Linked DNA regions of Schizosaccharomyces pombe. Changing the gene in region 1 together with any one later gene gives a genetic interaction. Each region holds a gene or a part of one and is shown on either strand. Other genes may lie near its edges. The genes, in order: bud20, dni2, SPOM_SPAC9G1.08C and aps1.

Region 1 (5,342 bases):
TAGCGTGGATTTGCATACTCATTGTTCATACCAGCTTATGCTACCTGAAGCTATTGCAATTGTTATGGCTCCTTCCAAAAATACGTAAGAAAAAAATTTTTTTTTCTACATATATTAACGACTTTTAGCTCTGGCATCTTCCGTTTATTAGATCCTGAGGGACTACAAACTATAGTCAAGTGTCGAAAACCTGGGCTTTTTCATCCACATGAGGGAAAAGTTTATACGATGGTTGCTCAGCCTGGGCATGTTAGAGAAATTAACTCGAAACTTCAAGTTGTTGATTTGAGGGTTAAATAGGTAAGGATGCAATAGTAACACTTCTTTTATTCTATTATTGGTTCATCTTACAGACGCCAGGCACTTATGAATTAACTAATGGTATTTGTAACATGGTAGTGGCTACGGAAAGTTCATTATAGGAAATGAATCTATGCGTCTAATGAAACGTTCTTTGATGAATTTGTTTTTTTACGAGGATTTTGTTAAATGATAGCGAATGCGTTATGAAAAAATTATCAAAAAAATTTTATTTATTTAAAACACCATGTATCCAAAGAAACCAAAATAACGTGAAGGTAGTTTGAGATGCTCACTCTTGAAGCTAGATTAACATCCAGTAACCAATGGTAAGGTATTAGTTGTAAATTTGTAATCCAAACATGGATGCAACTAAAATTACCAATAAACGCTGCTAATGATAATATAGCAGAATAAATGAGAATGAGACATATAAAAATCTGTTTAAATAAAGAGCATGCGCTACGAATATGGAACAAAAGCAAAAGTGCTGACTAACTTAGCATTCGTAAATGTGTCTCTAGTTTAGTCCGCCATGACAACGTTACTATTGTCAGCAAGCTTGGAAGCTACACTCTGTTTTGGCTGTCCAATATTCACCGCAGCTTCTGCTTCTTCTTGTGTATACGGCTCTTCACGCAAATTTTTTAACCTTCGTTTGTGAACCTTTCCCTTCTTATGCACCAGCAATGCTTGAGACGAGTCAAAGTACCGTGCACATTCAATGCAATAATGTTGACCTAAACCTGGCAAATCCGGATCTATAGGTAATTTATCAAATTTCTCAGACTCTGTTAAGTCATTGTGAATCTGATCTAAGTCTCTATTTGTCCAATTGTTAATTTACCAAACGATGATTGAATGACCATGAAATTTGCATACCTCCCATAAACACGAGTTCTAAACAAAGCATGATTTCCATTGCTATGATGCTTTCTTTTTCTGGCAACTCTTCCCATTGTCCGTCACTTCAAACAAACCCGTTTACCACAATTACAATGTTAGTTGCAAAGGATAAACTTTTTTAAGCGTAAACACATTCAATATCCAAACGGCGTAATGTGTGCTATATCGTATAGTGAAAAATAATTCTCAAATAATCTTATTTTCCTATCGTAGTTTGCGATAAGTTTAATAACGAGAAGGAAAGCCTCGTTATATAGTTGAAAAGCAAGAGAAATGTATTAGATATGTATTATTGATTGTTCTGAATAGCTCAAGTAGCGTAAATTTTTTAATAAATAAATATTCGTTCAAAATTTGGGAGAGCATGGTCAAAGCAAGTTGAAATGCATGCCTTTGAAATTGCGCTTTTTAAGCGACGATTGCTCCATCGTTTGACAAAACTTTGTAATTTAAGGGATGTTTAGCATCGGAATTTATTAGGGAAAATTGCTTTAGGCGTGATTCTTAGTACATGGCAACTATAGAAGAAATGAATTAACATTCAGTAGCTTTCTGGCTTTAACTGCCACTATTTCATCAAAGTCTCGACAAGTTGACGTTTAGTCGAAGGAAAGAAAGTATTCACGTAGCGAGATCAGAGTCCGCTTATCAGCAAGGAAAAAATTGAGCTCTCCATTTAGACTGCTATACTGAAGTGTGAGCAATTTTAGTGACATTTAGTTTTACAAAAGGAGCTTGATTGCTCGAACTCAAAAGATTCAATTAACCACGAAGGGGTTCTTGGCAGTGAGGTTGTAATTATTTCTTTTTTATTTTATCTTTATTTGACTTTTGTTTTTTCCCAAAGAATAATTGCAATGTTCAATTAGTTTTGAATTTGAAAAACCTCATATGGGTAAAAAATCACTCGGTCGAAAAAGACAGTAAAAATTTATTAGTTAATTTCGTAAGATGGGGCGCGAATTAAAGAAAGTTGCTAGTTATCATGTAATAACATAATTGAAACCCTCGATTCGACAAGTATGCAGACAGCAAAACGAATGCACGTACTAAACAAATAGTAAGCCATTTTTTGTAAAATGAAAATGTGAATCAATAAACAAATAACTTTGCCTATCTCAATTCAAACGTGTTTTTTTAAAATATATCTATCGATTTGTAATAGGCAAATTGTTTATTGCAGCTATCTCCAAGCTTGCTTAATCACATGTTCAAAGATGCAAAGCCCAGCATATCCGTGTAGCATATGTTTTCATTCAAAAAAGTAATAATATCCTAAAAACATATTTAAAACAAGCTATCAATTTTAATTTTTTCCCTATAAACAAACGTATGCTATATGAACATGTGTACCTAAATTTTTTTCGACCAAGATTTATAGACTCTATGTTTGAAAGAGATCTTTTTGTCCATATCGATAAACTAAGACTGCTTGAAGGGCAGATGCTGACATCTGCAGAGCAGGAAAAGAAGTATGCGTACTTCGTAAAGACTTGAGTACTGAACGTAGGGTCGATATATCTTCTCCATTCAAAAGCTCAGGAAGTTTATAACAAAAGCAAAAAATCCATTGACTCTAGAAAAATGTTAGCAAATTTTAGAATGAACAAAAATACACCAGCAAAGTAGCATGAGATCCTTGTTACCAACCTGTAAATCAATTGCGTCCTTTTCAAGCCAGCTGGACAAGCTTTCTAGGATCTCCAAAACAGTTGCCAAATCAACCACTGCTAATATGGCCCAACAAGGAGCTTTATGCTCAATATATACACGCCATTGTTGTAAATTTTTAGGTAAAATAGATGCGTCCAATGAAGAAGATTCCATATATTGCTCAAGCCTTTCCCCTTCTTTATCAATTATGTTTAGTAAGTATCGTAAAAACGGGTCAAAGCTTTTTTTGCCGGCCTCGATTTCCAATTTGCGAAGAGGAATGGTTTCTCTTGTTTCAGGCTCACGACGCGCCGCTACAAATGGAACTAGCTTGCGAGCTTCTTCTCTGAACTTGTCAGTAAAAAGCCCAATTATTGTTACAATGATTAGATTAAAGCATTCATGTTGCAAATTTCGATTTTCACAAAAATTCATATATAAATGTTCGTACCTCACAGTTGCTAAATAATCTAAACCATCAAGTGGTATATCATATTCCAAAGATTCTGAAGCACTATTGTTGTCGATTTGTGGAAAAGCGCTGCGTTGATTTGTTTCCTCATCTAATGATCCTGAAGTCTGATATTGTAAAGGATTTCTTTTTCTTTTCGAGGGCATTTTGAATTATTATTGTACAATTGCAAACTTCTCATATAAACCAAATGGAAAAGAATTACCGAATTTTCATGAAAATACTCAAGGAATGTAGGCTGTTTTTTTCCGGCAACTTTTCGTTTGTAGTTAGTTAACAAGGAATGTTTCGTAAATCGAAGATTACCCTAGTATAATAGAATGGTAAGGTTAAAGAGGTATCTGTAGAACTATCAATGTGAAGAGTCTATCTTGATCAAGTGTAATGCTAAAACTAATTTTAGCTATTTCTTGATAATTCCTTTACTATCATAAAATTTATTACTTGTTCTTATTTTCAAAGAAGTTCAAAGTTTTGCATTTTTTTGAAGTGTATAAGAAGCTAAAACTGGGAGAATATTCACTCAGACAGAATTGCCTATCCTTGAACTAATTTAATAAACATAAAACATATAGATATGTAGGAAATTGTACTATTCATTCTTCTGTCAACGCAAGTAACACCATCTGCGGCCACTTAATCAGGCACTTACTCTACACAATATACAGATCAGTGCTTTATCCCCAAATCCCATTGTTCATTGGTGAATTGGTGTTTTGAGCAGCACATATGCCCATTCTAACATGCAGATATAAAATTCTGTTTCTTTATAATTTACGGAATTGCTTTACTTTTCAAAATCAGCGATGTCTCATACCATATGGAACAACCACTACCATTAGGTGGTATAATGCAAATTTTCAAGCTGTTCAAAACAACTTTTCTGATTATAAAAACGAATTGATCTCTTCACATCGTCCAGAAGCTTCCAGTTTACTCGACTTTTTGGTAAAGGATCAAAAGAAAAGTGGTGATATTAGTTTGCATACAAAATTTAATCTATATGTGGACGATTTATTGAAAAAGAGCGAAAAAGGACAAATTAAAAAATTTATTAATGATATTAAAAAAGATTTGGCTACGGAATCTCAGCTTCCATTGTCTGCGCCATTCAAAGATGAATCTACTCGGACTATGACAGATCCCCAAGTTTTAGCTTATATTCATCAGTCTATGCCGTATCAATATGCTTCTCTATACAGCGTATTGACTGACTTGAAAATTGTAAACAGTGATGTGTCTTGCAAGTCTCAACATATACTGGATTGCGGTAAAGGTCCAGGTATTGGTGCTCTAGCTAGTTATTCAGTCTTTCCCACACCTAATTCAGTTTCAATTGTTGAGGAGAACCCATTTTTGAAAAAAATCATATATGATATTCACCATAACATTTACCCGTCAACTTCGCCGAATCCAACTAGCCCTGTTACGCTTAACCGTCTACCATTGGGTAAAAAGGATTCATACACTCTAGTTATTGCATCTAACAAGCTTCTTGAAATGAAATCGGAGAAAGAACTCTTTGATTATCTTCGTTCGCTTTGGAGTCTCGTGTCAAATGATGGTGGTCTTTTGGTGCTCTGCGAGCGAGGCACAAAGCGTGGCTTTAGTTTGATTCAAAGAGCTAGAACATTTCTATTGCAAAAAAGTAAAAATACTTCTGATAAACAATTCAATGCCCATATTGTAGCACCCTGTCCCCACGATGGTCGCTGCCCCATTGATATAGAAAATGGGGTAAGAGCAAATATTTGTTCTTTCAAACAACATTTTTTCCTATCCCCATTTTCCCGTCTATATGTCCCTCGTTCTCATCGTCGATCCTCGGATCGCTCTCATTACAGTTATGTTGTTATTCAAAAGGGTATAACTAGACCGCTTAATAATACCACACAAAGGTTCAAGAATGATGAGGATTTACTAGAAAATGTGAATGTTACATCTCCAACTCTTAAAAACTGGCCACGTATAATTCGACCTCCACTGAAGCGAGATGGACATGTCATAATTG
Region 2 (5,331 bases), on another chromosome or scaffold:
CAGAACATATATCATGTGTCTATAGTTATTAATGTGTATAGTGTTTCACAAGCCAGAGAATCGATACGTCGACCTGATGTTTTAGCGGTATTACTTACTGGCCGCAACGAAGGGTTTCGAGGAATCGTGGAAAAAATCATTGCAAGCAAGGGTTTAGATTTCCAAGGGGTTGTGTTTAAACTTCAAGCTCCTGACGGTTTTTGGCCCCAAACACTCAACTTTAAGCTTTGGTTTTTTAATGAAGTTTACCGTCATTTCCTATATATTAACTCCACGAGGATATATGAAGATCGACCCTCCCATATAGAAGCATTTTCTGCCTGGTTGACAGAACGAAAAAAAAAGAATAAAAATGCAGATTTTGAAATTATTGCTGTCGCCGAACCTCCCAAGTATTTGAAGTTCAAAGTTGAGATTGCTCTTGTACGTGGAATGCTCACTGCCCACAATTTGAAAGCCCCATCTTTGAAATTACCCTTATACAAGTTTGTGAAGAATGTGATAGCAACTGTTGTTACGGTACCTGTCGCAGAGCTTCACCATATTCGCAATGCTTTTTTTAACATACCAATTGCTGAAATAATGGAAAGTGTTAGCGCTAATTCTTCACGTAGGAATTCACACGATTCTAATTCAACAATTATATGTGAACCCGAATATCCTCCAGATACGTCTTTTAATAGTAGCCCTGGCCGCTTGTGGATTGTTACGGCGATTGGAAGATATCGTGACGAGTACTGGACGGTGCGTGCTGAGGCTGCAGAAGGATATGACTGTGAAAAAATACACGAAATTGATGTCGCCGATATCCCTTCTCTTTATGGCACTATATTATACGTGTCCATGTCAACTGGTATTGTAAAATCGGAGATTGGAGATATTGGAGCTCAGCAGTGGAAGACATTAGCACCTTCCGAGCGATGGATTCTTCGTACAAATATCAGAAAAGAATGTACATATGACATTCGATACAAACGACCTTATGTATCGTCGTTGAAATATTCCGATGATGATTTGACTGCTGGTCGTGCTTCTCCTATGACTGGTCCAACAAAACGCAAGTAAAGTTGAGTATTTTCCATCCCTTTTCAAAAATATCCTTTATTAAGTTATGCTACTTTTCTTTTCTTTTCTCTTTTTTTTATTTAAGTCTCCCACTTTCAATATATTATAATTAGATTACCAATCTTAGGCATATACATCTGATCGTTTGGTTCGTAACATTTGCAATTTTAGATTGTCTGTTTTCAACATTAGTTAATTTATATTTAATGGTTTATGATTCATTAAAAGCTAATTCTCAATACATTTTTGCTCAAATTAGTAATATGGTTTACAAAATCTTATTTATGTTTGTTTAATAGTCTTTGCAAATGAAGTATTGTGTTTCAATTAATCTTAATTTAGTAGTAATGCTGTTTTATGTGTTAATTAAATGAAATTTAGTTATAGTTTTAAAAAAGTCAAAAGGGTATCTGTCATATACGTTTAAAGAGTATCATAAGTGCGATTTTACTTAATAGTAGTCATTTCAATGTCGTCCAACATTCTTTTCGTAATAATTACAAGCTAAATGAGAGAGATGTTTCTTCAAATAACTTTTGCTTGTTTCGTTCAATAGTCCAAAGTCCCAAATGTATTAGCGAAAATAGCAAAAAGAATCCACTGGAAATCCACCCAAAAACTGCTGCAGCTACCCCAAATTTTGCTGTAGCTTTCCCAGTTAAATTCATTCCTACAGCATATGAATTAGCCGAAATATGAGCTAAAGCCATTTGGAGTGCTAAAAGCAAACAGGCGGCTGTACTAGTAGTTAAACAACTTATTGACCATTGGCGTATGTATGCAGGAGCCAAGTACTTTAAAATAGTCAAAACAATGGATAGTGTTGAAAATACAACAACAATCGCGAGGAGAACAGGATGAACTTGAAGCCACGCAAATCTCGAAGTTTCATATGCTAAACCACCAGTTGTTTGATCCCAATTTCGAAGCTCATGGCAAACTCGAGACGTTGAATTAATAGCTTGATCACACACTCCAAAGAAACCGACGTCTACGGTGGTTGTTTCATTCTTTACTCTTAGTAATCTCGCAAAAATAGATGATTTCGTTAAGCAGCTGCAACATAAAAATATTAAAAAAAGCCATGCAATTCCTAAAATAGCATTCGAAAAAATACTAGGATGAGGAATATAGTTGTATATTCTTGCAACAAGTCCAATCCAGCTGAATTTACTAGTTCCTCTTTCCATTCTTAAACCGTAATTTTAAATTGTTTACTTTAGCAAAATTAGTTTAGGGATAGAAGAACTATTATGGAATGTAAGTCTATTATAATACTTTGAAACAAAGAAATTTTTGACACGTAACTGTTATGTTTCTTTGTCTTCGAGGACAAAGAAATTATGAGTACTACACATACTTAATACCGATAAATGCTGTGCCGCCTTTCAATCAAATCAATTATTTATTATTTTTAAACCATCGTCATGATAAATGAAAAGATAGGTCCCTTGAAGTGTATAAGAGTAAACTGAATGAATAGGCGAGTAGTAGACATTATTGAGCAAATAATCATCGTAAAGAACCCAGTCTAAAAACTTCGCAACCAATTCCGTAAATTATCAAAAAATCATTATTTCGGATCATGCCACCCACATCAGCTACGTGAGTATATCTTTCCAGGATCGGTTTCAATGAATCACCCTCGACTTTCCATAGTAATATCCTTTGGTCAATGGATACACTCAGCAAAAGCTCTTTGGTAATTGATAAAACACCTGTAACACTGGAAGCATGAGCTTCAGCAAAAAAGTAGTTATGTAAAGAATTGACTACTACTGAATTTTCACTTATTTGTTCTAACAAAAGTATAGATCGAGAAATTGCACCATCATCACCACCCGTAGAAATCGTTAACACATCTTGATCCCTGCTAATATTTAATGACTTAACACAAAATTGATGCACTGTTTTTATCCAAATTATTAATGGCTCAATTTGAGGATCCCTCCAAAATGTGTTCCAAATAGCAACATTACCATCAGTCGAAGCAACCACCAACAATAAATGAGACCCGAAAATAACAGCCTCGGCAAAAACCAAACAAACTGTCTTATATTTCCAACTTTTTATACAATTTAGCTGCTTCGTATCTACGTTATAAGTGAATGCTTTGATAGTCGAATCGGACTGTACAGTATTAATCCATAACACTCTTTCACCCAGATGGGTTGCCTTTACAACAGAAATGTCAGTTATTCGAAGATCCCCATCGTAAGTCTTGTTACTTTTATTTGGTTTGCAGAGTTTTTCATGAACGATCCGTTTCAGATATGCCTCTGGCTTTTGTATTAGCCTATAAACATTTAACTCTTCAAGACCACCAGTGGAAAATAAAATATCATCGCTAAACCAGGTCAGCGATTGGATTCCTGAATTATGAAACTTGACAGAATTCAGAGGAATTATGTTTCCATTACTCTGAAACTCAAGCAGGGTTACTTTAGTATCTTCAGATCCTGATAATAAAAGATCCCCTGAAGGATTGAAATCCATTGCTCGAATCTCACGCCCATGCAAACCATTTTGTAATACAGAATTTCTTTGCAAAAGATTTAAAGCAGTGCTATAAATATAAAGTTGATTTGCTCTATAAGATGCAAAACTTTGAATGTCCATCTCCATTGAAAAAGCCCATGGACGATGACTACCTCCACAATCAATAAAGAAAACATTAGTTTCATTTGTCTCATCCCTTAAAAAAAAATTTGATGCATGAAAACCCCAAACCCATTGATTTTCCTTTCCATTTTTTAATTTTTTACACAAACCCTAGCATATGTTAGCTGAACCATGAACCGTATATTCTTAAAGATAATACTCACCCCGCTTAGTATACCATCACAACATTTTTTCGAACACAGCTCCTGAGGAACAGCACTTTTTTCTACCCTCGGAATTGAAAATAAATTGACATAACCATCACGTCCGACTGTTTGAATTAAGAGGTAATCACGTTTTGACGACTTGATGTGAATGGATGAAATTGCATCAAATTCATGAATTCTCCTCCATACAGAAAGGTAGTTGCTTTCACCAATATTGTACAAAGCCAGCGATCCTGTTCGAGAACCAATTAAAAAATTTGAATATTCTTCATCAACTGTAAGAGAAGTCGGATCAAATGTTGCCGGCAACTCCAGTTCTATTGTTGAAATTAGGTTGACCTTATCGGCTTCAAAATCAAATTCCTGTAAGTAAACTCGAAATTGGTTTTTTCCTACAAATGATTTTGATAGTAGAAAATATCTTTCTTTAACTTGATAAGTAAGCAGTTGCTGAATCTTTCCCCTATGCAAATCAATAGCTTTTAATAAATTCGTATTTTGATATGAAAACACATATATAGTACCTTTGTTGGAGGCAGCAGCAACAAAAAAAGAGTTTTTCCAAGAACGAATTATAGACATGTCCGATGTGGTAGTCAAAGCAGGAATAGCTTTTTTTCCTTTATTATCTATAATTGACATTTCTCTAAATTAATTGGGTTAGACAGATGAATATTTGATAGCATGCAAATCGCTTACCCATTTTTGGCAAGGCATAATAATTTTTGACATTTAACAAAACAAAAAGAAGCAAGCAAAGTCTTTGAGGTGAACAATGAGGATACTGAGATGCAGGATTCCTGAATACGAGTTTTGTAATCCCAAGACCTAACTGATCCATCATTTCCACCGGTATATATTATTGGGTTCGCAGAGGAGACAACTAGTGACCATATGTGTTTCCCGCGATGACCAGTATATGTGTAAGTATTAGTGAGCGTTTTATCATTCCAAGTCCAGAGACGTAAGGTCAAATCTTCAGAAACTGTGGCTATTTCTTTGTTGGGTAGAAACACGCAACGCCAAACACGAGCTGAGTGACCAAAGCCTGTCGCTATTAAAAAGGGTGACGACTCGATCGACCAAAGCCTTAGGGTACGATCTTCAGAAACTGAGCAAAGGTAACGTCCATCCGATGAAAACTTGAGATCAAAGCAAGCACCTTCGTGTCCAACAAGGTAGGTGTCAATGGAAACACAAGAAGGTGGATTGTTATAATTGAATTTCCACACGTAAATTTGCTGAAAAGCGGAAGCAGAAGCTATGTAAATTTCATTTCCACTTATTTGTACCGTTGCGCAAAACAAAAGAGGCGTTTTCTCGCAAGATATTGTATTTGTAACTTCCCACGAACCTTTACTTAACGAAAGAAGATGAACTTGATTTTTCGATGTAACGACGCAAAATTTATTTTCTTCACCAAGCTCCGCTGCATTAA
Region 3 (6,512 bases), 2.9 Mb from region 1:
GAAGCATCCTTTCAAAGTCGAGCTCCAAAGGTGGTTCGTCTAACAGTGCTAATATTTCCAGTCAGTATCGTTTATGGCGTGAAAAATTAGAATCTGAAATGATGCGGGTAAGCTCAAACGATGATTATCAGGTTTTGGTATGTGAAAATTTGGTTGGTCTTTTCTCATGTGTTTTTGTAAAAAATAAGTTACAAAGCAAAATTCGGATGTTACAATCGACAACTGTAAAAACGGGACTAGGTGGTTTGCATGGTAACAAAGGTGCAATAGTCGTTCGCTTTCTGGTAGATGATACTTCATATTGCATAGTAAACTGTCATTTGGCTGCTGGTCAATCCAATAAAGCAGCCAGAAATAATGATTTGGCAACAATTTTAGACAATGCTTCTCTTTTTCCTGAAAATGATGAAACTGATCAATTGAATACATTCGTTGGTGGTGGCGATGGCTCTTTAATTATGGATCACGAAGTTTGTGTTTTGCATGGTGATTTAAATTATAGAATCAACACATTGAGACCTAAAGCTTTAGATTTAATTAAAAAAAACGACATAAAAACTTTGCTCCAAAGCGATCAGCTTCTTGTTGAGCGAAAAAGAAATGCCGGATTTCGTCTGAGAACATTTACTGAACCAGAAATCACGTTTGCCCCAACTTACAAGTACGACGTTCATAGTGAGCAGTACGACAGTAGTGAAAAAAAGCGTGTGCCTGCCTGGTGTGATCGTATCTGTTATCGTGGAAGTCCCGACTACATCTCTGCAGAAAACTATACCAGGTACGAACTGAAGGCATCAGATCACCGACCAGTATCTGCTTTAATACATTCCAAAGCGAAGATGGTAAATGCGCAATCTCAGGGGTCCACATGGGACGTGGTCAAACGAAAGTGGATTGAGTATGCTGATGAATTTAAGAGAAAGGCTAAGTATGTTTTTTTTTGGAGAATTTTGCTAACCAACCAGAATAACCTATGTCATGAATTATACTTCTGTGTCTTATCAAACGGCTGAACAATATTTGTCTGGAAATAACTGGAATGTACAAAATGCTTTAAAGCAAGTGTCAAGTTGATTTCGAATAGTTCTCGTTTGGATGTGTTTATATATATTATGTAGATTAAATTATAGTAGAATATGCCATTATAAGTTCATTTAAATACAAAATTGTGAATGCTGTAAACAGGTTGTTTACGAGTTTTTAGTAAGCTATCCATTTAGACTTCTTCTTTTCTCAGTTTCTTCAAGCCACCGTGAAAATAGTAGTTGTGATATGGGGCTCCGCTTTTGCTTTTTGTGATGCAGTCTGTTGTCTGGAGTAATTTGGTTAACAAATTTTGAGGACAGATTTTTATCTAAAGAAATGAAAGATGTATAAAAAGATTCTAAAGATGAGCGCTGCGTTGCTGACAATTTATCATTTAATAACATCGATCGTATGGTGGACTTAATATAATGTTTCATAGCAAAATCGGAAGTCAACGATTTATGATAAGAGCTACCTTTTTCAGACAATGACTTGGAAAAAGGATGCGGTGTCGCTTGATCACTCATTATAGTTTTCTCTAAATATTTTATTGATGAAGGCAATTCCTCTTTATTTTGTGAACTGATGATGGAATTTTTAGGAATGCTAGTATTCCCTAACACAGTTGAGTCAGATTTCTTTACAGTTTCAAATGTCCAATCCTCAATGTCAGCATTTCCTTCAGCAATTGGTTCTTCAAAGGGCTTTAAAGTATTATTTATGGTTTCTTCCAATACACTTTGATCCGAATCATCAAATAATTTATTCTCCTTCTGAACAAGCAAAGGAATAATGTCTTTCACAGTTCCTGCGCTTTTGATGAATGGGTGTTGAAGGAGTTCTTTAGCTGACCATCGCATATTAGGATTGAGATCTAAGCAGCAGGACACAAAATCACGGAATGTTGGACTGAAATGATCATCTAGCTTTGGAGGCTCGGATTGAGGAATTTCAAAGATGACACGCATTGGATGCATTGTAGCGCGGGGCGGAATTCCGTTAGCCATTTCAATAGCCGTAATTCCAAGAGACCAAATGTCAGCAGCTAAACCATAACTTGTTTGTTGTATTACTTCCGGTGCCATCCAAAATGGCGTTCCAACAAACGTGTGTCTACGCGAAGCAGCGTTCGAAAGTTGAGCGGCAACTCCAAAGTCAGCAAGCTTTACGTTTCCGGTAGAGGAAGATAGTAGTATATTGGCGGCTTTGATATCTCTGTGGATTTTGTTTTGTCCATGAAGATAATTTAGCCCATAAAGGACCTCTCGAAGAATGATTGAAATTACTTGTTCATTCAACCTTCCCATTTTCAAAAGTCCCGAAACTGATCCTCCATCCATATGCTCCATCAAAATCCATAATGTGTATCCGTCAACAAAACAACCGTAATACTGAATTACATTGGAACTGTTGCAATTCGATAACATAAATACCTCTTGTTCGATGTCGGTAATGTCGTCAATACCTGTTTCTAAATCAATCTGCAACTGTAAGTTTTTTGTGATACTAAAGAAGAGTAAAAATTAATTAGTCTTACCTGTTTAATAGCGATAATGTCGCCAGACACATTTTCACGTGCTTTCCAGACAACCCCAAATGAACCTGATCCTAATTTCCGTAGCAGAGTATAAGAATTAGCATTGAGAGGATACATTTCATCAATATTTTGACTGCTCAAATCTGAGGTTGAGCCTACTTTCGGTTTCGTTTTACAAGCACAAGCTAGATGCACCACGAAGTACTTTGTTTATTACTTAGAGGATTATAATGAGCTACTCCGAGACGCCTATTCCAGTAAACTTAACATTACCAACTTGTTACGAAGTATATATAATTAGACTAGTTTATTATAAAGTATCGAGTTTTATGTCTGAATCTACCAAAGAGACAATAGAAGTTTTATACGAAATAGGAACATTGCTTGGAACTGAACTTGATAAAACAACGCTTTCACTCTGCATCAGTCTTTGTGAAAACAACGTACACCCAGAAGCAATAGCTCAAATAATTCGGGAAATACGTATGGCTCAGGAACAAACTGTTGACACAGAACCAAGTTAATGGCAAGAAGTTTAATCTCAATAGTTGACCTCGGGGTTTAGTATTTCTTTTATCTAATGTCTTCTTTAAACAGTGTTCTACCTTCAAATGCATGCGCAGAGATTATTGAAGGGAAAGACAAGGTTCACAATGTAGTTATTTTAATGCATGGACTTGGAGATTCTCACAAGAGTTTTGCAAATATGGCAAAGAACGTTCCGTTGCCCAACACTAGTTATATTTCCTTACGTGGACCATATCGATTACCATTAGATTTTGAAAATCCTGGAGGCAATTGGATGTGGGGAGAGGATGTCCATTTTGATCAAAACGGGGAACTGCAATCTGAAGCCGATTTCTCTAAAAGTTTTACGATGATTTCAAATTTAATTGGCAATCTACTCTCTTACGGTATATTATCTTCTAGAATATTTTTTTTCGGGTTTGGTCAAGGAGCTATGGTTGCTTTATATAGTTGTTATAAATTGTCTACTAAATACCAGCTTGGAGGGATATTTTCCTTTGGAGGTACTCTACCGCTATCCATAACTTTGCCCAATCATCCATTTCATGTTCCAGTGTATTTGTTTGAAAAGCGATTGCATTGTTCATGCAGCGAATATGAAGAATCGCGATTACGTAAAACATTTAAACCATTTCACCTCACATGTTGGAATCGTGATGATAAAACTGACATGCCTTCATCCCCTAGAGAATGGTATACATTCGTTCAATCTATTAGTAAACATTTGTATATTCACAACACGTTGTTTGAAGATGCAATTCCTCTTACATCTTTTTAGAATTGATTTATTTAAGTTAACATTTGTTCACAATAAAGTTAATATTCATTTGGGCATAGATATAACAATAACTCCTCTAGCCATTATGTGATTAAAATTAGTACGTTTACCTTTTGATCATTAAGATTTTCAATCGACAAGATAACTAAGATCCGGAAGCTTATCAACAATTCTATTAATTAGTTGATTTTGGTCAACTGTTTTTATATTTCCACGCCCTGCTCTCTCATTATTAAGAAACGAAGTATTGATCGATTGAATAACAGCCGGAGTGTCTTTAGGAGCTGACAATGAAGTAGAAGGTGAACTAAAATTCTGAAAAATTAGAGTATTTGGCTCAACTTGAGACTCTTCACTTACATCATCAACGGAAGCAGAAGCTAAATTCGATGAGTTTTTCGAGGTATCTTGGGAACTGACCCATGAACCCCATTCAAAATTATCAGAGGTTGGATCCGGGGAAAGAGACGTTGATGAATTTTTTTTCTTCGTTTCTCTAATTTTTTCTTCAGAGTCAAGTTTAGCGATTGATGAATGTTCTTCGACTTCATCAACTTTTTTACGATCCAAACTTAGTGGTGATTTTGGAACAACTTCATCCTCTTTATTTATTGAAATTGTAGAACAACTGTTGCTTTCCCTCTCAATCAATTTGACTGGGGAAGAAAGGAAAGTATTTGCAGATAATTTGTGATCCTGTTTAACAGCAACTGTATTATTTAAAAGAGCCGTAGAAGAAGAATAATCCTTGGGAATTTCATTCGATGATAAATTAGAAAAATCAAGTATATCTGAAGGAACATTTATACTGGAAATCTTGGTCGTAGAAAAATTAGATAAAGGAGACTGTTCCGGTAACAAAATATTTTTGTCATTGATGGGCGGTGTGACAGGTGAATTGGTATAGCTTGCTGTTTTCCTTTTCTGCTTCTGATAAGCTGTTGACCAACAAAAAAGCACATTGCTTTTTCGATTTACATTAGACCGTTCTTGGTTCCATAAAGTCATATGTTCTTTAAGTAAACGACTAATGGTTCCTTGTTTTAGTTCTCCTAAACTTTTCTCATTGTATCCTAAGCGGATTAATTGTCTAAAATTGGTTTCCGAGGTAGCTGTAATACCTATATAATCTTTGGATGCCAATGAAATCCGTTTAGGAGGCTTGACAACGCCAAATGTGTAATCCAACTTTTCATTAATATCTTTCAAATTAAATGTGTCAAGATTGAGAGCATTTTCTTTCCAGACTGATGCCTCCATTGAAAAACTGACATCGTTAGTAATTGAGGGAATTGCTGAATTCGAGTTGGATATATTTTCACTACCCCATGCATTATGAGGATTAGAGGCGTTCGAAAAACTAACAGAGTTCAGCAAATCATCCATATAAATCACATTCCAGTTCTTTAAGTTGTAGATTCTCAATTTAATAATATATGAGTGGATAAAAAAAACGTAGGTGCCATCAACTTCGGGTTAAAAAGAAAACAAAAAGAGCCTTAACTATACTTCTTTTATAAAAGGAACCTTTTTAGAGTATTAGTATAAATGCTCAAGATGAGTTGAAAGCGGTTCGGCTAGGGTAAGCGACTTAAGCCACCACATCGTGTGCAACGCAAGTAGGCAACTTAAATCCGTTCAACGTATTTAGTGTGAAATTAAAAATAAAATAAACTCAATTAAATTTCCGGAAGAAGAATAAATTTTATAAGTAATCATTTTAAAATAGGACAGAGTTTTTTAACAAATTTTAAGCTAGTAAACAATTAATCTAATACTCTGGCGAAAGTTGCTAGCTTTATTAAAGAGGAATCTCATATGGACTGAAGCATCGTGCAAATTTTTGAAAATTACATTTGGTAAATTAAAACCTAGATTATTTCATCTAAATAATATGGCTTAAAGTGCGCATAAATATGGATGCTGGTTTCAAATCATTTGAATATTATGTCTTGTGCAAAAAGCTCTTTAAAAAAATTACAGAAGTGCAAATGTACCACATATTTCAAGTTAAAATGAACCCTTCTAGGACTTCTAACAATTTTAGTAAATTTTCTCACTAAATCAATTATAATCTACATGAAATGAATCTAACATCGCACTCTTTATCGTTAAAGAATGTTTCATGGTAGCCAAATATCTTTCTTTTTTTAATTTTCCTAAAATGAAATTCTAGTATGGTTGAATTTATTACCGATCTGCATTTTATCGAGTATTATTGAAAATATTTCCATTTTTTAATTGTGCGCTAAGTATATAAGTCGCGTTATTAGAAAAATTATGATGTACTCGGTTAATTGAGCTCTAAAAAAAAAACAAAGTTATTAGTGTACTTCGCTTAAATAAGAATCTTATCTTCACATTCATACACAACTCACATCACGTTACGGAACTTCCGCTCCGCTCGTTTTTTATATTAACTACCAAAGACTATAATTTCATTCCTTTAAGCCTTCAGGAATGTCCATTCCTAAACAACTACCATGCATGGTACGTGCTCTGTATGCATGGCCAGGTGAACGTGAAGGTTCGTAACATTTAAAGATGCTGTTAAGTAACGTCGCAATTATTGATGTAAAGTTTAAAAAATATATATTAATGTGTTTTCAGGTGATTTAAAATTTACAGAAGGAGATTTAATAG
Region 4 (5,907 bases), 4.7 Mb from region 1:
CGATCACGTTGACGAACTGAACGAATTTGTTCAACAACTCAATCCGGTTGCTTTTACTCGAGTGCTTCGAGGATTGGGGAAGGTGTTGGCTTCTTACAATGACAAAGCTGTTGAAGAGGATACCCTCAAGAAGAGTAGTACTGGTTCCCTACCTTCCGGCCAACAAGTGCATTGTCAATATGTATTAGATGATCCTAATCATGTTGAAGGAATTTCTGTAGACCAATCGTTACAGGTTCCGAAGTTTGAGAAGAATTGGCTTATTAGCCCTCCTGGATCTCCACCTGTAGGATGGGAACCTATTGTTGAAGAATCTCCCAATTCGCAACATTTAGCTCATGATATTCAGCTTAAATTGGATGAATTAGGTAATGCCCTTTTGAACGATCATTCCGCTGGACCACAAATCGTAATTTCTGAACATAACAATACAAAGGAAACATCGCCATCCAGGCAATTTGAACATTAGTTCTTGCTCAATTTTCTTTTTCTTTTCTTTTTCTATTTAAATTTTTTGTGCATATGCGTTTATTTTTGGCTTCAATTTACAAAGTTTTGTTCTTGCTTCAACGCTTTTTTTTTGAAAGAAAAAAAAATCGACATTTTCAAATCAAGATTAAGATGGGTGAATTCTAAAACAGCTCGATTCCAAAACTTCACTTTTTTTAATTGGAAAACTATGGTTATCTTTATTACGGTCAACGACTTGCTCCCAGTAACTGTCTTGAAATTAAGGATCTATAGTTATGTGAAAGATATTTCCGTAATTCAGATTGTTAGTGATTTGTTGAATTTGACCTGGCTAAACTAACGCATATTAAAAGTTTTGTTTCATCAATTATTTATCCTATTATGCCCTATGTCTTCAAAGTTATTTACCTGTGAAACGTTACATTCTCGTTCAGATTAGATCCAGAAACTTATGCTGGGATCTAACAGGATTAACGACAATTGTTAGAATGTGAGACAGTGCTATTTAGTTCATTTTTAAAAGAATTGGCTATGACCGTCAAAGTTCTGAAAATAAAAATATATATATGTATTTTCTTCTTGTTTCTTTTTCTAAAAATTTTTTATTCTGATAGCTGAAGCTTTACTAACATAACTGCTAAATCCTACGTTTTTAATTTTGCAGTTTGTTTGGATTTTTAGGTGTGGTTATAAATTGCTTTTATGTACATTTTCACGTTGAACAACGTCAATCAAATATATTAAGTAATTCTCAAATTCTTATATAAGCATTTTGTACGAATATTTATACTAACGGATTGATGTTTGCTATAGTTCGTCGTTTCGCTATCTATTTACTACTAATTGAAAAGTATTTTTTAAAATTATCGCACGTAAGTGTAATGAGCGTCAATGGATTCACTATAATTCATAGCTATATGATTGCTGAAAGCCAATATAAAATTACACGACATATTCAAATTGACACACGAAACTTCTTGGGCTCATTAGTATCTAACAACGAATACGTTTTACCGTATGGAACAATTTTGTTTTTATTAACGTCACTAATCAAAATTGGTTGCAAACAATTAATATGCTAGCAACTAATGTGCTTTTTATGCATAGCACACAACGATAACGATTAACTCGCACCCTAGCATCAAACAGGTGGGATTAGATGATTTTTTAAGGAATGAAACTTTGTTTTAAAAAATTTGAATTATCATGCGATTCAATTGAAAATATATTTATAAATAGAATTAGTATGTTATGCAGACAATGATCTTAATCGAAAATATACAAAGAGAGTAAAAACTTTTAAAAAAGGAAAGAAAAAATAGCAGTTGAACTGCTGGAATATATGCTGTACCGCTGAAATCCTTTAAAGGATATATGTTTCATGAAATGAGCTTTATGTCGAAAACTCAATTTGACCCAGCTTGCTGAAAAAAAAAATAAGAATCAAGATTTGCAAACTTCAAGCCTTTTTAACACACTTGACATGGTAACTAATAGATATAACAATTTCGTAATCCCATGGAAAAAGATAAATATTGAAGCAAGAAATCAAAAAAAATGGTAAATTAAAATATTTGAATAAAAGGTTGCAAATGGTAAACATTATGCATCTGTACTTCAGTTTTCCTCTTTAATGATAGAGCTCTTCTCAAGAGCTGCCAAAATATCTTTACGACTTGTCAACGCTTCCTTTGCTTCTTGATAAGACATCCATTTTCGGCGACGCTTCCTCATCTCTGGGTAATTGTCTTCTAATCTTTCAACAATAACTTCAAAAAATTCACATTCGGCTCTAGGTGGAAGTAATAATTTCTCTGCTTCGGCTCCTAACTCGGTATTGGTTGAGACGTCATTTCCGCTACTTTTTGACATTAATTGCTTCAAATATTTTTTCCTTCTGTCAATAGTATCAGTAGGACGCTTATCCTTGAAAGACCCAAGGGATCTAGTGATATGACCCACTAGTCCGCCTTCTTCCCAACCTTCACGAAGGGCAGCTTGCTGAACAGATTCATCAGCCTCCCATCCACCCTTAGGAACTACCCAAGAAGGATGTTTTTTAGCAGAAGAAACTAATAGGACTTTCCTTTTGTCTGCAGATAAAGCAACAACACCCGCAGCAAGTCTGGCTCCTGTAATAGGATTGAATCGATTTTTCGTTCGACCTTCACGAGAAGTCATTGAGCGGTTCACTGCCGTCCGTAGATGATCCGGCTCCATTAAAATCACACTTCCGTTATTTTCAAGCATATGAACTATAAAGTACTCTTCTTTTCGACAAGTTGAATGGATTTGGTATAATTTCTTGCCTTATGGTAGAGTAAGGAAACGATGTCTGAAAAGGCAAAAGCAAGATGTTCAAAAGAATCTGAGTTCTTTTTGAACAAGGAAGAGATATAAATCTCCTATTCCGATGAATATAAATCGATCGCGAAAAGTGGTTTTCCGAAGGTTTCTCCCAGTGATTTAGGTTGGGATAACGAAATAGTGAAGTACAAACCGACACGCTAAACAGTTGTCGGAGACCAAATAATTTGCGGTGATATTTAAAATGAGAGATTGTATTAGAAAATAGGTAATTTATAATTTTTCAAAATAAATAGCTTGCGAGGAAAATACATTTTCATTTTGTATGCAGTAATCTCCAATTTGCGAAGTTGTTTGTATTCGTAGATTTCGCATCGAAAAATACCCACATTATCAATTCTTTGGACAAAATGAGGCTTTTTAAAAGGAGTACGCTTGTAGAAAATCTGTAAGTCTTAATCTTTTAATACACGGTTTTCGAAGTTTTGCATTGTATTTACTGTTCTGTTGTTCTATCTGATCATTGCTGATTCCTTCACTAACTCTTGATAAGTTGGGCTTTTTGAATCTGATAATATTGATAGTAAGAGAATCAATTAACACTAACCAATTGTTGATGCATTTTAATGTCGAGGAAAATAAAATAAAATAATTTAACAAAAAAAAGATTGGATAATTTAAATTCCCAATATCTGTTTTATTTAAAACAATTATTATAGCGAAAAAAAATGTTTATTATATAAAAAACAATAATTTATACAATTCAACTACTTCTATTACGTTTGGAATAAAAAGAAAATCGTTTAAAATAATAATATATCTAAATAAAATGAGTAATGTTGGAAGAAAATTGGCTTTTCGTTTGCTTTGTTATATACCTTAGCAAGCCATTGTATAAATTGTTATTTTTTAATTTTTTTTATATGAATAAATAATGAGATATGATTTACTTTTTAAGCTTTTGATAAAATTTGTTCATAACATAAACTTTGGTATGTGTATTCCTTCTTATAATTACAGTTGTATTTAGTTTTAACAATACGGAACAAATAATTATTTTTATGTATTTAGATTTGTCATACAATATAGCGAGTAAATGCCATTCTTCAATCATAAAAAAAGTACACTTTAGTTTGTTGCAATCTTCCACCACCTCATCACTTTTTTTTCTTTTGTAAACATTAATCTTCTTACTCTCTTTGTATTTAAATATTAAAAGAGTATAACAATTCCTTCTTTTATAATATTTTATTTTCATATCGTTGGCTTCTACAATCATTGGCAATTGAAACATTGTTGACAAGCATTCAGGGTTAAACAAACCATTGTTTCAATCATTACAACTGTAATTGTCTCCCCAAAATTGATTCTCACTATCATAAACTTGGATGCTGCTTTACAGAAAAAATCTAAGCGTATATTTGATAGAGCGATTTGAGGCTCGTTTCTACGGCTCTTGAAGATGAGAAGGTGGTTCAAAAAAACGCTACCACGCCCTCCTGATGAGGAGGAATCAGCTGGATTAACAAATAAAGATATTGTTGAAACCAATCACTTATATCCTACAATCACCAATTTGTCATTAAACAGTGATACTTCGTCCATTTTATTTGATAAAAATAAAAAACCTCTAAAACCGAAAATCATTATTCCTGATAAAGAATTTGATCTCGATTATTATTTAAAAGATGAAACGGAAAGTATTCAATCTCCATTTGAAGGTTTTACTGCTCAACCAAATTTTTCAAACTTCAATAAGCAAGGAAATACTATGAACCGAGAGGCAAATTTCCAAAGAACAAATGAAAAAATTCAAAGAAATAAAAGTATTAAACGAGTTAAATTATTTCATGGCAATCTCATCCTCGATTGTCCAATTCCTAAGAAGTTATTGGTTACACTTCCACAGCAAACAGAGCGAGAATTTGCTTACATGCGCTACAGTGCTGCTACATGTGATCCACAAGACTTTTCGAAAAGCCTATTCACTTTAAGGCAGCCCCTATTCTTTCAGCCGAGAAAAACTGAAATTTGTATTGCTATAACTATGTACAATGAAGATGAAGTTCTGTTCGCTCGTACCATGCATAGTGTCATGAAGAATATTTCACATTTATGTACAAGAAAAAATTCTCAAGTTTGGGGGAAGGACGCTTGGAAGAAAGTCGTTGTGTGTATAATCTCTGACGGTCGCACCAAGATACATCCAAGAACACTTGCTTATTTAGCTGCAATCGGAGTTTATCAAGACGGAATTGCTAAAAATCAGGTCAATGATAAGGAAGTAAAAGCACATATATACGAATATACTACACAGCTGTCTATTGACCCTAATTTAAAGTTCAAAGGATCTGATAGAGGTATTGTTCCTGTTCAGATGATATTTTGTTTAAAGGAGAAAAATCAAAAAAAACTAAACTCCCATTTGTGGTTTTTTCAAGCGTTTTGCCCAATCCTAAAGCCAGAGGTGTGCATTCTTTTAGATGCTGGAACACGTCCGGGGGACCAATCCATTTATCATTTATGGAAATCATTTGATTTGAATCCTCAAGTTGCTGGCGCTTGTGGTGAAATTGTCGTTATGAAAGGAAAATTGGGTTCCGGTTTAATAAATCCATTGGTAGCTACTCAGAATTTTGAATATAAAATGAGCAATATACTCGACAAACCAGTAGAAAGCGTGTTTGGGTTTATCAGCGTACTACCAGGAGCCTTCAGTGCATACAGATTTGAAGCTTTACAGAATGATTCTCAGGGAAATGGTCCTTTGGCTAGTTACTTTAAAGGAGAACTTCAAAATACCGGAAAATCGGGGATTTTTGAAGCAAATATGTATCTTGCAGAAGACAGAATACTGTGTTTTGAGCTAGTTTCAAAAAAGAATGAAGCATGGATCTTGCATTATGTAAAGTCTGCATATGCCGATACGGATGTTCCAGATCGAATCCCAGAATTCGTGCTACAGCGAAGAAGATGGCTTAATGGGAGTTTTTTTGCTGCCGCTTATGCTATCTGTCACTACTACAGGTTTTTTAGGACTTCACATACTATTTCGCGAAAATTTATGTTATCTATTGAGTTTATTTACCAATTGGCAACTATAGTTTTTGGTTGGTTTAACATTGGAAA

The links.
Region 2: mutations in bud20 (region 1) and dni2 together harm fitness more than expected from each alone (negative genetic interaction), as found in Schizosaccharomyces pombe (one large-scale study listed by BioGRID).
Region 3: mutations in bud20 (region 1) and SPOM_SPAC9G1.08C together harm fitness more than expected from each alone (negative genetic interaction), as found in Schizosaccharomyces pombe (one large-scale study listed by BioGRID).
Region 4: mutations in bud20 (region 1) and aps1 together harm fitness more than expected from each alone (negative genetic interaction), as found in Schizosaccharomyces pombe (one large-scale study listed by BioGRID).

What each region holds. Positions count from the first base shown.
Region 1 is NC_003424.3:4,902,918-4,908,259, forward strand, and holds bud20 (zinc finger ribosome biogenesis protein), read right to left. Parts: upstream 1,317-5,342; 5' UTR 1,260-1,316; coding exon 1,183-1,259; exon of another isoform or gene 1,124-1,182; coding exon 826-1,123; 3' UTR 501-825; downstream 1-500. Other genes in the region: sst2 (AMSH-like ubiquitin-specific protease), read left to right, coding at 1-84, 129-300; yip11 (SMN complex subunit Yip11/Gem2), read right to left, coding at 2,591-2,782, 2,857-3,205, 3,311-3,477; rsm22-cox11 tandem protein cox1102, read left to right, coding at 4,061-5,342. UniProt on the Schizosaccharomyces pombe protein: Involved in pre-60S ribosomal particles maturation by promoting the nuclear export of the 60S ribosome.
Region 2 is NC_003423.3:1,181,351-1,186,681, reverse strand, and holds dni2 (claudin-like protein Dni2), read right to left. Parts: upstream 2,256-5,331; coding exon 1,567-2,255; intron 1,416-1,566; coding exon 1,358-1,415; downstream 1-1,357. Other genes in the region: SPOM_SPBC4.02C (rRNA methyltransferase), read left to right, coding at 42-1,065; protein Trm734, read right to left, coding at 2,578-3,837, 3,891-4,539, 4,593-5,331.
Region 3 is NC_003424.3:1,981,925-1,988,436, reverse strand, and holds SPOM_SPAC9G1.08C (phospholipase), read left to right. Parts: upstream 1-3,087; 5' UTR 3,088-3,143; coding exon 3,144-3,869; 3' UTR 3,870-3,998; coding exon of another isoform or gene 3,999-4,184; 3' UTR 4,185-4,229; coding exon of another isoform or gene 4,230-5,255; 3' UTR 5,256-5,314; downstream 5,315-6,512. Other genes in the region: inp53 (inositol polyphosphate phosphatase), read left to right, coding at 1-928, 966-1,074; PAK-like GC kinase Sid1, read right to left, coding at 1,209-2,507, 2,564-2,680; putative mitotic spindle organizing protein Mzt1, read left to right, coding at 2,893-3,087; SPOM_SPAC9G1.07 (Schizosaccharomyces specific protein), read right to left, coding at 3,999-4,184, 4,230-5,255; cytokinesis protein Cyk3, read left to right, coding at 6,330-6,396, 6,480-6,512.
Region 4 is NC_003424.3:197,049-202,955, reverse strand, and holds aps1 (diadenosine 5',5'''-p1,p6-hexaphosphate hydrolase Aps1), read right to left. Parts: upstream 2,919-5,907; 5' UTR 2,722-2,918; coding exon 2,089-2,721; 3' UTR 1,439-2,088; downstream 1-1,438. Other genes in the region: rcn1 (calcipressin), read left to right, coding at 1-469; SPOM_SPAC13G6.13 (uncharacterized protein), read right to left, coding at 3,725-4,072; chs1 (chitin synthase I), read left to right, coding at 4,241-5,907.